2 linked regions of the Canis lupus familiaris genome follow. The protein of the gene in region 2 purifies or fractionates together with the protein of the main gene of each other region. This does not show direct contact. Links are inferred from orthologs where the notes say so. Each region holds a gene or a part of one and is shown on either strand. Other genes may lie near its edges.

Region 1 (7,363 bases), on a different chromosome or scaffold from region 2:
TGGATGAATACAATAGCCGATTAGTATAGGCACTGCTCCAGGGTTGCTTGCCTTATTTTTTTCCTTCCAACAAGAACACAAATTTACCTTTTAAATAATTTCACACGAAAAAGAAGGGGCCCCTCTTTCAATTTCACTTAAAATACAGAAGATAAAAACTATAATAAAACATTTTTCTAGATCTTAGTTGCTATGGCAAACTGGGAACGTTTTCTTGGCTATTAAAAATGCTGTTTTGGGGCCAACTGGGTGGCTTAGTCCATTAAGTGTCTGCCTTCAGCTCGGGTCATGGTCCCAAGGTCCTGGGATCAGGCCCTCCCATTCCCTCTGTCCGCTCATGCTCTCTCTCTCAAATAAATAAATAAAATGTTTTAAATAAATTTTTTGAAAAATGCTATTTTGGACAAACAGACATTATGGACCAGCTCATTGGTAATTTAAAGCACAAAGAGGCTATATTTGTTTTGTATGCTCAATAAACTTGGAAAAGGTGAAGGCATAAATTATATAAGCAAACGCTTTCATGTAGTAAATTTAAAATTACTGTATAACTACATATACTTAATACATCAAATTGTAACCTTGCACACTAAAGAAATGTTCTTAGCGCAATGCTTTAAGTACAGGTGTGCTGAGTGTGTTTGCAAAAGCAATAAAGAAAAGTATGACCTTCTAAAAGAGACAAATTAAAGGACTATTATGAATATATGTTTGCAGTCAACAGTACACTCTTCAGTGCCAAATTAGCCTTGCAAGCTGGCTGCATTACTTAGCACTCCGTTCACCATGCAGTTTCCGTCTCCTTCCTCTGTACAGACTTTCTAGTGGCCCCTATGATGGATTCATGCAATAAAAAGTGGCACTTAAAGCACAGTCCTATCCACCCCAGAGCACAGAAAACAACACTGGGTTCTCTGGTCCTCCTGGGTTTACCCTAGTTGTCTTATAACAAAGAAGTACAAAGTCTGTAGATTCTTTTGTATAAGCTTCTATCTGGGATAAGAGAAACTTGATAAACAACTGTGCTTCTATTCCAAAGTGGTTGCTTAAGAAAACATACCTTGTTTCTTCCAGTCATTCAACAAATGCATACTGACTACCTACTACTCTATTTAATTTCATTCTACAGGTCTGCTGCTAGCATACTCCCACCACAAAACAATCACCAAGATCAAGCTTACAGGGGATTTCATAGGAGCTACCTATAGATGATTCTGCTTATATTTCTGTTAAGAGCAATAAATGATAGAAAAGAAACATTAATTCCATAAAGGAAATAATCTATTTGGAACACATCAGTCAGCACTTTACCAATACAATAAATAATATCTAGCAACTAGATAGCTAAACCAGTCACAATGGAGGAAGTTATGTCACCCCCATCTAAGATACCAAAAGCCAGGGTCAGATTCGGAAAATTCTAATTTTAGTTGAAAAGCCACATTGGAAATTCACTAAGAGTCTGCATCTGAACAAGGGCAAGTGCTACCAGTAAAACAAAGAAGCATTTGCATTTTTCACAGTTTTCCTCAGCATTATTGAACATCCAGACATAATACCATAATCCTCTAAGGACAGTGTACAATAAAGCTAAGCACCCCCTCCCCCAAAGAGCCCTCCCTCATGGGCATTTACCGTATCAAAGCAAAAATAATACAACAAAGGCATCAGAGGGTTCTTATAACAGTATTATTAGTATTCGAACACTGTTTATCAGTTTGGCCTTTTTCCTGAATTCTCAGCAGGGCTGGACAAATACTACGTGTCGTAATACAGGTCCTAAGAACCTCAAAATGTACTTGGGTAATTTTTTTCTTGGTCCATGAGTTAAATTCTAAGTGAAAGAATATTTTCACAGAAAGTGTTGTTGTTGTTTTTTTTTTTTTAAAGGACTTTTCATTAGACAGGGCCACTTACCTGCTAGCAAGACTGAGCAATTCATGTTTATCTGCTACAGCTGACTTCTTCTCAAGCTCCCACATTAGGACGTTGATCAGATGTGAGTTTTTAATTACAATCGGCACTTCTTCAAACATGTGCTCAAAGGTGATATTTCCCTTTTTCAATCTGTGAAGCGTGTTAAAAATACTTTAGTCTGGTGGTCAGAAGTAAGTGTTAAATTGACTATTTCATACATCTTTCCCTAATTACAGGCCCTCTCCAGGATCTCTGTTTCATTAGCACTCTTTTAAAAAGAGAGAAACTAGTTTTACAGAGTCAAGCTGAAGCTGAATGATATGAATAACATTGAAAACAATCCAAGTTTGAGCTATAAAGCCCCAAAAACAAGATTCTTGGCAGAAGAAACTAGTCTTTCTTTATAATCAGGTATCTTCAAAATTTCATTGATACTAAAATGTAAATGTCATGGGAAATTATGTTATATAACTTCTATCTAAAACATTTAAATAAATAGCTGGAAAAGAGAAATACTGCAGTTCTTGGAAAGTTCCATTTTAAAAGTCTACCAAACTAAAGAAATTAACAACTAGCAGAACACTCACAGTATATCTTATATACAATAGTTCAGAATACAGCAAGAAAATGGTTTCTCATAAGTTAGTTTTAACTACCATACCCAGGAGTTGTTCATGAGTTAGCTTTTAAAATTTTTTGCAACCTAATTTCTTAAAAAGCTATTGGAAAACTAGCAAAAACCTGTCCCAAAGCTGCTAACTTTAATAAGAAACCAAAATTCCCTTAATTAACAGAAAATGAAAGAATTCTAATTTTCAAAAAATTTTAACAAATATTCCAATGCCATTATGAAAAATCATAAAACAGCTTTACCAATTAATTCTGTGCATATCTAGCACCCATAAAATTTCCAAAATGCCACATTCCTTACTGATACCTTAAAATGTTTATGTCTTTCCCATCCCCACCTTCATGAAATAGGACCCAGAACATAAGACATATAGCTCACAATTATCCTGACACAGAGCTATGGCAGCCACTGGTCACTCATCCCATTCTCTCTCTTCAAATCCAGTAGCTATTTAATTCCCCCTCCAACTGAATTCATACACAGTGTGAACAACAGATGAGACATTCCATAAAGAACAGTTTAAACATGGAAAGGGAGAAATCAAGAGGCACTTGGCCATGCAAAACTCTTCTACAGTCCACATGGCAAAAGCATTGCCACACCACCACCACCAAGGATTCAATAAATGTGGCAAACTACAATCTTAAGAGGAAAACAGCCAATGCTTTACCATATGCCTCACAGGCCCCCAAACACTTACGCTTCAGGAGAAAAATCCTTCTCTTTACAAACTTCCATCAGTTTAGGAGTCAGTCTGTATGCTTTCAGCGAGAGGGACCCTTGGGCAGTTTTTATGGGATCTCAAATAAGGAAAAGAGAAAGAAATTACTAACACTTTTGTTACTGCCATTGCTTTGCTTGAATGACACTGGTTCTAGGCACACTATTACTAATCGTACAATCTTTGCAAAATGAAGATCAAAATAAATGATCAGAACTCAGTCTGAAGCAGATTCAAATCATATAGCAAATAGTTAAGTGAAAAAACATAGGAACCCTATCATCCTACTTGTAATAGGTAGAGTAACTTCCTCCCTAAGGTAAAAACAGAAGATTCAAAATGCAGTTATTTTTAAACCTATTCGTCTGCTTGATCCAGAAATCTTGGTGAAAATTAAACATCTCCTATGTTCTGTCCAGCTTATATTCATCTTGTATAATTAGAAGAAAAATATTAATGAATATTAAATATGAAAATACACCATGAAGTTGTGTAATTCAGTGGACTAATTTAAATGAATGGCCCTGTGAACAAAAGTTTATCCATCCTAGTAATCATTGTCCAATTTTTTTAGTTAAAAGAGATTCTAAAAATGACTAAAAAGTGCTATCACAAAAGTGTCTTTTTAGTTTCAGAGAAACTTATTTGGTCAAAACTAGCTGCTTACACACTCCATGAGTAAGGGAGCTTAGCACTTGCTGCATGATAACGGCTCCGGCATGCCAATATTCGCCTAAAACCTGTGTTAACATTCATGTTGTCTGAAACTTAACACAGTGAAACTTTTAGCAATAGGTGATAAAATGAAAACCAAAATAGATTGAAACAAGTGGAAAATTCATCAAGGTCTGATGATGCAATGTTTCCAGCCAATATAAGTACACTTTAACAACTTGTTCTTTACTGTAATCCAATTGTTAACATACTGAAACAATTTTGGGGCAGCTCATAAGATTGATCGTATTCATTAGTATTTTTTCTGACAGATACTCAGGACGTTACATTTACTTCTCAGCTGGAAACTATATGCAAGTCTGCCAGATATGGCAAACTGTGAGTGTTTGGGGAGGGGGAAGGCTATAAAGCTGTTAAATTGCCTACAGTTCTGATACAGCACAGAACATCTGGTCTGGAGAGCTTGAGGAAACACCATTAAATAGGCCGAAAAGAAAAAAATCTTTGTGCTAAGAAACAGTCCAGGTTTTGTACGCTGCTGTCAGAGGTATAAAAAAACTTGGCACACTGTGTTATGATTGGTCAGTCACGTACAGAGCCAGACACTCTAGCAATTGGGGTTTGTTAGACATCTGGTCTAGTTCCACCAGCCCCTTCAAATGAGGGAGGGGAGATGGAGGAATAAAAATGAAGCAGCTACTCCAGCATTCCAAAATGTACACATCAGGGCTCTGATAGCAAGAAAAATAAACAGAAAGAAGGAAACCCTGTCTAGACTTAGCTGCTGCTGAGGCTGCTGCAGAAACAGGGTTGGTATTTACTTGAGAAGGCCTGCCAGGCTGCTCTTAGAGGCAAAAAGACAGAAAGCAAAAATAGTAGTAATAACATTAAGGGAAGAAAAGAATAATAAAGGAAACTCCTACTAACCGTAAATGAGAACGACAGATTCTTCAATGGCATGCTGGTAACTGAACTGAGAATCCAGGAGTGCTCGGGTGACGAACGAGCCATAGTACGTGGACTGATACCAGCCCACGTGGAGGTGATCAATGTTGACATGGCGAAGGCTGCGCATCATTTCCATCTGATACTGGACTAGATGACAGGGACAGAGGAGTAAAAGAAAAACTAATGATGCTACAAATAGTAAAAACAAGATTTTTTTGAAATGAATTTTTACACAACCATTTATTAGCTAAAGGGCACAGGTTTCCAGGTTTAAAATTCAATCAGTTCACATATAACAAAAACGAATTTAAGCTTTCAAATCATTTCAAATCACTGAAGCTTTCCTTTTTTCAATAATGAAACGACCTACTGTAGAAAACTTACTAAGAACACATTAATGCCTTGTTCTAAACAAGAAATTATTTATTAAATGTAGTTTTCACTCATTTCTTAAAACTCTTAAAAATAGTAATAAATCTTTAAGAAAAAGATTTGTGTATTTGCTAAACTGGTTGGTTTTTTAAGATATTCATTTGAATTAGTAAAGTGAGAATACTTATCAAAGTCTCTTTCAACTCAGCTTTTAGAACTGAGAGGTTAAAATCATCAAGAGAATGAATAGGGAAACAATTAACTACCATATTATTTAAATATGAACAGAATACAAGCTGTAGCTGATTTAAAATATAAGAATTCATTTTTGCCTTCATCTGGTGCCCCCTGCTGCATATGCTAAATTTTAAAAATAATTCTTTTTTTATTTGTATGTTCTTCTGTGTTAAGTAACAGATATTAATTTTTCATCAGTTATATGTTAATCACCATGTATAGAATGAAAAGGCTGAAAGGCTACACTTTCATCAAATTAATGACTATAATGTATAACATTAACTTAAAGCAATATTTCTAGAATAGGTGCGAACTGAGACCATAACAAGTAAAAGATTTTAAGAAGCAATAAAGCCCAATAATGAGTAGCAAGTATGTAATACAGGAGAAAATTTTATAGTCAACATAATATCCAAGCTATTTCTATTATAATGAATGTACAGCTATGTGGAATAAATATATTTGCTTAACTCGGAATCTTACCATTTCATTTTTAAAACTCTCGATCAGGTTTTAGCAAAAGTAAAATGATATGCCTGTGAATTCCTTGGTTATAGCACTACGGTTTTATAAAACAAACAAGATTCAGGATCATGAAGTAAAAAAGAACCTCCCTCAGATGTCACAATCTTATTTTTCAACATTTGTTACTAGGCAAAGAAATTATAAATCTGCTATTCCAAGGAAGGTTATAATTCTCATGATAAAATATGGCAGCCAACTTTTTAACTATTCAAGAATTGAGTTTTTTAGTTTTTCTTTTATATACAAATATGATGGCCTCAAGAAGAAGTGATATAAAATTAATATGATAATCGTATATCAACCACCTTTTACTTAAATTTTTGTCTCTCCAGCACCTAACAGACCTCCTTCCCTTTAACAGATTCATACACACCAACCACAAAAATATGATATAGAACCATTGCTATGGTCTCTTTCTGCTTTAAAATTCCCTCTTTTAAAGTAAAATCACTCTTTTGTCTAATGGAATTTAATCAAATTTAATGCACACAAAGTTCCAATATCACAAGTATAACAGGAGTCAGACTAAATTTACTATTCATTTTAAAGGAGTAGGGAAGAGATGGGGAGAGATTACCAAGCAATTGATAGTACAAATGTGGTTGTGTAGGATGATTTTTTAAAATCAGTATTTTCAAAATATCTGCCAATATACAATTTAGGTGTGTTATAAGCAGAAGTTAGATTCAGTTTACAACAGTAGGAAAAAAAGAAAAGACTTGGAATCTTGGGATCTAGGTTCTCATACTAGATCTTAGATTCTTTTTCTATGGGGAATCTTGCTGTCCAGTTATTGCTCCTTATCCGATGTTCAGCCTTCCCATCTCCAGAAAGATTTGAGAGCACATCACAGTCAAAATGTTTTGACTTCACAGTGTTCACTGAATATGCTAATTATAAGTAGTAATTTTACTACAAACTAAGCAGAGCCTCCAGCATCCATTGATACTTAAAAATGCATTCCTCTGAAAAAGAGTTGGTAATCTTACTAAGTCAGTCCCCAAATAGCCTCAATACAAAATGTTTTATAATAGCATTTTCAGGATGCAGGAGGTAAAATAAACTTTATGATCAGTAGCAAACCTCCAAATTCCTTCTTCACTCAAAATCTTACCTACTTTACAACCCCTTGGACAAGAATGAAAATAAAGTATTCCTCTCAGGTAGGAAGAGACTAAGGAATAGAAGGCTTGTCTATGGGAGATACCACTGCTCTAGTGTATTCACTTCTTGAGAATTTACAAGTAGAGAGATGAGTTTGCAAGGCTCTAATAAAAACCTATTTTTAAGGTCACAAGAGTTTTCATATGACCTAAATATGGTAAATAAGTATTAAA
Region 2 (7,952 bases):
ATTACTCAAACGTGTTTACCTCCAAAGCAGCTTTCTACCTTCCTCATGGAAACCAGACAACACAAACCACCTAATAAAACTAACATACAAAATGCCTTGGCTGGAGCAACTTAAAAATATCAAATAATCATGACAAAAGAAAAACAAATATAAATACCGACTCGCTCTTTATTCAAACAGTGTGCTGTTTCGCTTATGATTCCACGTCCTAAATTACGTCAACGCCGTTTCTGAGCGCCATCTCGTCATCAACTGCTGCTATCGACTCCTGTATTTTTTAAAAAGTCTTTTTTTACATCATATAACAAAGTACAGTTCAATTTACTTAGGGATAAAGCCACTATAACTAAAAACCAGGGACTGCTCAAATTGCTACCAGACAACACCAAGAAAATCCCAACTACAATCACCAAGAAAGCACATGGACACGAGATCACTAAAAACTCAAAAATAAGCTGAGACCAACAAATCTAAACAACCTGATCCACAGTTTGGGCAACATTTACGACTGTTTTCCCACTGCAGATGACCAATCTTCCCAAATACAAATTTAGTTGACATCTTAACCAAGTTACTACGTCTTTACTTCCCTGATAATGAAGTTGCCTTTCAAACAAATCAGTCTGTAGAAAAGTCACACATGAATTTATTTCACCGATATAGTAACAAGATGCCACCTACTCACCTGTGAATATAGTTTTCACGATTGGTAGGTAGATCATAGTTTATAACCAATGACACTTGTTGCACATCAATCCCACGAGCCTGCAATACAATGGTATATGTTCAAATTCTAATTTAAAACTGTACACAGATACATAATGTAGGCCACAAAATAGTAGTGAACTATACGTTAAGTGATATAGCCCACTGTGGAGTGTGGTCTTTTCTTTAATCTCCCAAACAGCCCAATCTGGTAAAGGTTATTAAAAAACCTTCCCCCCAAAACAAACTTTTGGTAGATTAAAAAGATCAGCAAGAGACTTACCAACAAGTCAGTAGTGATCAAAACACGGCTTGACCCTGATCGGAATTCCCTCATGATAACATCTCTTTCCTTCTGGTCCATGTCACCATGCTGCAAATCAACAAACCTTAATTCAAGAATCACCAGTCAAATCAATTATTTAATTTTACTGACATGTATGAGACCAAGCGTCCCTGGCTGCTACAGGGGTATAGCAGACAGGTATAGTTAAGAAACAGCTTTATTTTGAGCAGGGGGAACGACAACACAGCACTTAACAGCTATATTGTAGTCTAAATCCTGCTTTAATGGGGGGTCGGGGAGCATAATTATCACTACTAGGACACCTCTTACCAGGGCAGAAACTGTGAAGTCCCTGGCATGCATTTTCTCAGTGAGCCAGTCCACCTTGCGCCTTGTATTGAGAAAAATAACAGCCTGAGTAATCGTCAGTGTCTCGTACAAGTCACAAAGAGTATCCAACTTCCATTCCTACAATTTTTCAAAGTTAACAGTCATTAAAATCTAGTCTCCAATTCATGTTCATTAGAATTCATTGTTAGGCCATTCTAAAACATATTGCACCAAATCTTAAGACAAAGGACACTGGACATTAAGAAAGAGGTCCACCCCAGTCTCTACAATCCAGTGCAGTTACTTTTCTTCTTGTGTGTACTCTGCTAGCATTATTACAAAAACTAAGGCAATCCTAGTTTCTGCAATTTTAGCACAGTGCTTATACAAGAAGGTTAAATAAAAAACCAAAATTTAATAGTAATTAGACAAATTACCTCTCTTTCAACATTAATATAAAACTGTTTGATTCCTTCAAGGGTCAATTCTTCCTTCTTCACCAGAATTCGAATTGGATCTCTCATGAATTTTTTGGTCACTTCCAACACATCAGTTGGCATTGTGGCAGAAAGCAACACAACCTTAAAAAGACAATGATTATCTTGTCACACAAATAGCCAACTTTCACAGTAAAACTATAACCAAGTGTCATAGTTATGTGCCAATAGCTTTAAGAAGGGAGCGGGACAAAGACTTCAGTTGTACTTTAACTTCCATTAAACCTAAGCCCCCAGCTACTATATGAAAGAGTAAAAACGAAAGCTCACCTGAATACTTGTATTTAATTTTTGGAAAATCTCATAGATTTGATCCTTAAACCCTCGGCTCAACATTTCATCTGCTTCATCCAAAACAAACATTTTGATCCATTTTGGAGCTGACCAAGAAAGCCAAACATACTATCAGCTCTAAATCCACAGGGATACTATTCAAACTTTTAATTTAAAATAAACTATACTCCAGAGACAGCAATACTTACAAAGATATCTTCTGTTTAACATATCAAATACTCTCCCTGGTGTACCAACAACAATGTGTGGTGCTTCAGCCTGCAGTTTTTGCATTTCATTCCGAACATTGGTTCCACCAATGCAGGCATGACAAGTTGCTCCCATATAGTCTCCAAGTGCCAGAATTACCTTTTGGATCTAAAAGCCAAAACCCTTTATTATTACACAGCAGAATTACAGGCTGTGACTAAACTTCCAAAGCATAACAGCAAATAACTGGTCTGCAAATAGCTTCTATGCATGCACAGCACTTAACTACTTCCAAGCTTAAAATGCAGACTGATCTGTTTCATGACAAAAGTCCCTTAACGTGTCTTCCTTGTGCCTTGTCAAACTTGGGATCCTGTTACCCCAGATACCACCTAAGTTAATTAAATGATTTTAGTTACATCATTTCCTACATTGCTTTTCATTGTGTAGGAAGGTGTAAATAATGGAACAAACTCTGTAAGTAAGCACATCTAGGGACAACTTGTTGGTAACTTTAGTCTTTCCCAAAGTACTGGAGCTTACGTCCTTTCGACCTTAATAAAACCTAGTTTTATTAGCAAGGTCTTACTTCAAAGCCAATATAGCAGTGAGCTTTGAAAACATAGCATGCAACAGATGCATCACAAACTACTGAGACAGTCAAATAACATGTCACTGCAGTTTTCATGTTGCACAACTGCATTCAAACTTAAAAATGGGAACAGATGTAGTCCACCCTGAAAACACTTTGGTTTCTCAAATCTGTTACACAACCCTGCAAACCATACCTGCACACCCAGTTCCTATTTTTAACTCAACAAAAACTCCCTGCATGCATGGACAATTAGGAGGGCTCCTATCGATAGGACCAATTTATACTAAGTTTTAAATTCTTCACAGTTGTGAAACCTGAAACCTATGCAACACGCAAGCAGTTTTTTTGAACTACACTATCAATACCTGTTGAGCCAGTTCTCTGGTGGGGGCCAATACTAGTGCTTGGGTCTCCTTGAACTCAATCTCCAACTGTTGCAGGATGGAAATAGCAAATGTGGCTGTCTTGCCAGTACCTGACTGAGCTTGAGCAATCACATCATACCCTAAAAAAAGTAGGATACATATTTACCGATCCCACATCAAACCGCCACTTCTAGTTCACACCATGTATTCCGTTTGGAACATTAATTATGCCCAAATAATCAAGTGATCAGCAATGAGTATTCTCTTCATTTCAGGTCAGTCCCGAAAGATGATTGCCATCATTTCACTTTAAGGAATACAAACAGGTGCTATTCCCCCAGAAGTTACTTTCCCTTTTATGGTCCAGGTCAGTTATGTAGAACAGTTAATGCATGTTTCAAAAAGGGCTAGCTAGCTCGTTTACCTTTAATACAAGGAATAATAGCTCTCTGTTGAATAGCTGAAGGCTTCTCAAAACCGTAAGCATAGATGCCCCGAAGAAGAGACTCCTTTAAATTCATATCGTCAAAGTTATCAACAATCTCATTCCAGTTGCTCTGTAAATCACACACAAAAGGACGCCTGAGTAAGTCGGATGAACACCTCACCTTGCCCACGTTCCAGAATCCAACACAGAGGTCTTACCTCGATGACACCATCGGGGTCCATTCCCTCTGGGCCTCCATGTTCTCTGCCGACAAGAACACCGCAGTTAGAGAACGTCCCTCTCCCCAGCCCTCTTACCTGCACGGCCCGGGGACGGCCTAGGCTAGGCCGGCCACTCTCCCCACACGTGCGCACCACCCGCGCCTGCAGTCCGGGGAGCCGGCGGCGCAGCGCCCGTCACGTTCCGTGCGCGCCCGCCCCAAGGCCGACCACAGGGGACGCCCAGGAAAGGCCCACGGCCGCCGGCCCTTCCCCCAGCCCGAGCGCCAGGCGCTCCCGTCTCGGCGCCAGCCGGTCTCGCGAGAGCTCCACGCGCTGAGCTCCGCCCCTCACACTGCGCAAGCCGCGGTGATTGACGCGGGCCGCGGCCCGGCGAGAGCGGTGCCAACGGTTCGCGGGGACCCGGTTGCCGGCGCGGCCCCATCCGCCCGCAAGGCCGCGGCCGGCGAGCGGGCGGGCGCCGCCGTCCCCTCCCCCCGCCCAAAGCCGAGCCTGCAACTCGCGCCTTCCGCCGCCGGTAGAGCTCCCCCCCCGCTACACGGTGTCGACTGCGGACTGCGCCACCGCTCAACTAAAACGTGCGCCGGCGGGCGGGGGACGCGCCCGGGATGCCAGGGCGTCTTCGGGAGGGGACGGGGGGAAAAAAAAGCCCCTCCAACCAGTCCGTTTTTGTACCCTCGTCTCCCCGCAGGCCAGGCCCTACCCATCATGGAAGCTTCTCGAAGGGCAGAGAGGCGCTGAGCCTCCAGGAAACGCCCGCGAACCCGCAGCCCCCAGGCTGCTCGCCGACCGCCAGCACCTCCGCCGGCGTCGCACGACCCGCCACGACCCGCCGCGACCCCCGGCCCCGCGGCAGCGCCGTACCTGTTATAGTCCGCGGAGCCACCAGACATGATCCGAAGAGCCACTCAGCGCCCGACTGGAAAGACAGCGGCGCCGCGCCACCCGTTTTTTATAGGCTCGCGGCCGGAACCCGTTTTCTCGCGGAGGAATTTTCTCGTCGCTCTCCGGTCGCCCACCAAATTGTGATCCTGGGGTCCTTACCTCGGAGAATAGCCCAAGCAAGTGGGTGGGAAAACCCAAATTTGGTTATTTCTCGATATTACGGGGCCGCGGGACATGCCGGGGCCTTGGGGGCGGCTGGGACTCTTTGCCTCGCGGCGGAAGAATATTGCAGCAAGCGGTGGCCAAACCGCGCTCCCGGCCCGCCCCGCTCCTACGGGGTTTCCGCGGCCCCGAAGCAGAGGCGGCCGGGGGAGCGAGCGGCCGGGAGGCGGAAGCCCGGGGCGGCTGCGTGCGCGGCGGCCGGCCTCTCCCCGCGGGCGGCGGGGCGAGCTTGCGGTCCGGCGCCCGGGGGTGGGGGCGGCGGCGGCGGCGGGGACGGGGACGGGGGCGCGGCCTCGCGCTGCACGGGGGCACCTGGGGCTGCCCCGCCGGCTCCCCCCGCGGCTTAATTCTCCGGGGAAGAGCCGCCTGGCCTTCGGCGGGGCGCTTAACACCCATCCAGAGCCTAAAAGTGTGAAAACTTCCTGCTCGGGAAAATGTCGGCCTCCGAGCAGGTCCCCGAAGCCCGGTGCCCCCGGCGCACCGCAGGGCACTGTGCCAAGCGAGGCAAAAGCGTGCAGTGCCCTTTGCAGGGGTCCCCGCGGCAGCCGACGCTGCTCTCAGGTTGCCCCCGGTCTCCTCTCGCTCGCTCGCTCTTAAAAAATAACGCTGACCGCCCTAACGCGTGGGGAATGAATGCCCGACAAAATCATCCTGAACTTTTGCAAATGGTTAACAGCTAAGGACTGGTTTTCCTTACAACGTAGGAATTTAAATGGACGCTTCCGGCAGATAGAGCTCCGTGCCCCCTTTGGGACTAGATAGATTTTTTTTTTTTTTTTGATTCGGGTCTATGTTGCTCTTTTCTTTTTTCCCCCAAAAGGCTTTGAACTTTAATTGCTTCATACCGAATGCATGTTGATTTAGTGGAAATTGAGAGCGATACAACCCCTGCTGCTTAAATAAACTGCACGATTCTTGAAGCCGCGGAGGTTTCCGACTGTAGCCCTGACCCAGGCCTGGGGTAGGCCCAATGCATTTAGTCATTTCATTTTAAAAATACTACCCACACTGCGAGATATCATCAGGGAAACATTTTTCTCGTTAATTCAGAAGGCCACCGAAGATCTGCTACCTGGAAAAACTGACATAATTTTCTACGTCTGCGTATGATGGTTGATTCTAAATACATTGCTTTCAAAAAAAAAAATTATTGTGCCAAGAACTCTGAGAAAAACTAATACCGAGATGACAAAGTAGGCGTAGGTCTCAGTTTAGGGATGCTGCTCCTAATTAATCCCCCTGTAATAATGTTCAAATTCAGATTTGAGATAATGCGGGATATGTTCTGCAAATGGAGGTCAAAGATCTTTATTGTCTCAATAAACCTACTAAAACTCTCCAGGGATCTGAGAAACCAAAGGAAATACTAAATCAGAAAAATGACCAACCATTTAGTCTCACTGGAGTCTTTAGGGTGAAACCAATCAATCACAAGGTGAAATCAGTCATCAATCAACACCTAAATTGTTGAGTTTTCTTTAGGTTTAGCACTACTGTTACATTTCCAGAATTTCTTAAAAGGAAATAAGGGCTAAATTCTGGTTTAGGTCACAGTTGAAGGGGTTTCCAGGTAAAAAATCTTTCTAATCAAAAATCCAGGGACGCCTGGCTGGCTCAGCAGTTGAGCCTTTGGCCCAGGGTGTGATCCTGGAGTCCCAGGATCTAGTCCCACATCGGCCCCCTGCAGGGAGCCTGCTTCTCTCTCTGCCTGTGTCTCTGCCTCTCTCTCTCTCTCTCTCTCTCTGTCTTTCATGAAAAAAATAAATAAAATCTTTAAAAAAATTCAGAGTCAAAATCCAGACTCACAGTGCCTGCAACCCTACAATGTATTTCTAATAAACGCTGTGTTTACCACATTTGCCTGTGCTTACTAAACACCATGAGGTAACAAATGAATTGTAGATCCAAAATACACTTATTAACAAAGTGTGCATGTCAGAGAGCATATTCTTCTATGGTTAAAATAAACTTTCTACTTTCCTGAGATCTAAAGTTAGAGCTTTCTCAAAGTCAACTGCAAGTGCTTCTTTGCTAACCTGGATCACGTGAGGCCATTTATACTCTTGGAAAGCCTCAGCTGACAATCTAAACCCAGCTAGCAATTGTAAGCCATTGTTCACCAGAGGAACCAAGGAATTAGTACGAATATGTCAGTATGCAACAAAACCTTAAAAACAATATGCTTTATGTTGAAAGCGATGGCTTCTTAAAGAAAGTACATGTATTCTTTTGAGGTTCTTACATTATTTCAAGTCTATCAGATCTTAAGTGATAGTTACGCGTTTAAAGCAGGAGGCTATTGATATGCATGTTGGTTAAGGTTTGCGTTTTGGGGATGCCTGGGTGACTCAGTGATTGAGCATCTGCCTTTGGTTCAGGTCTTGATCCTGGGGTCCTGGGATCCGGCTCCCTGCAGGGAGCCTGCTTCTCCCTCTGCCTACATCTCTGCTGCTTTTTGTGTCTCTCGTGAATAAATAAATAATTTTTAAAAGGTATGTGTTTTGGATCTTTAACTCATTACTTATTAATGTCATTTATTCTTTAGTAAACACAATATAATACATGCTTGTCCCTACATCTGTTATTTAAGTGTTTAAGAATTACCTTGAGGGGGATCTCTGGGTGGTTCAGCGGTTTAGCACCTGCCTTTGGCCCAGGGCACCGTCCTGGAGTCCCAGGATCGGCTCCTGGCATGGAGCCTGCTTCTGTCTCTGCCTCTCTCTCTTTCTCTTTCTCTCTATATCTATCCTGAATAAATAAAATCTTTAAAAAAAAAAAAAAAAAGAATTGCCTTGAGCTGGATAGGGACAGTAGTGCTACTTAGCTCTTTATCATTCCTTTCCGTTGCTGGAGGAAATAAGAAGTTAGCTTCTGCCTAAACGTAGGCGGTGTCCACTGAAGCAATTTGGAGGGCAGCC

The links.
Region 1: the proteins of EIF4A2 (region 2) and EIF3H purify together in Homo sapiens (affinity purification with mass spectrometry; 3 studies listed by BioGRID and IntAct, with this or other methods). This does not show direct contact. The link is inferred for Canis lupus familiaris from reciprocal best matches to the Homo sapiens genes EIF4A2 and EIF3H.

The regions. Positions count from the first base shown.
Region 1 is NC_049234.1:16,489,375-16,496,737, forward strand, and holds part of EIF3H (eukaryotic translation initiation factor 3 subunit H), read right to left. Parts: intron 5,040-7,363; coding exon 4,872-5,039; intron 3,349-4,871; coding exon 3,249-3,348; intron 2,068-3,248; coding exon 1,918-2,067; intron 1-1,917.
Region 2 is NC_049255.1:19,522,290-19,530,241, reverse strand, and holds the start of EIF4A2 (eukaryotic initiation factor 4A-II), read right to left. Parts: upstream 4,908-7,952; 5' UTR 4,821-4,907; coding exon 4,792-4,820; intron 3,953-4,791; coding exon 3,907-3,952; intron 3,819-3,906; coding exon 3,686-3,818; intron 3,572-3,685; exon of another isoform or gene 3,503-3,571; intron 3,402-3,502; coding exon 3,262-3,401; intron 2,470-3,261; coding exon 2,301-2,469; intron 2,199-2,300; coding exon 2,089-2,198; intron 1,903-2,088; coding exon 1,759-1,902; intron 1,718-1,758; exon of another isoform or gene 1,542-1,717; intron 1,460-1,541; coding exon 1,322-1,459; intron 1,274-1,321; exon of another isoform or gene 1,142-1,273; intron 1,079-1,141; coding exon 989-1,078; intron 963-988; exon of another isoform or gene 821-962; intron 766-820; coding exon 686-765; intron 269-685; exon of another isoform or gene 158-268; intron 1-157. UniProt on the Homo sapiens protein: ATP-dependent RNA helicase which is a subunit of the eIF4F complex involved in cap recognition and is required for mRNA binding to ribosome.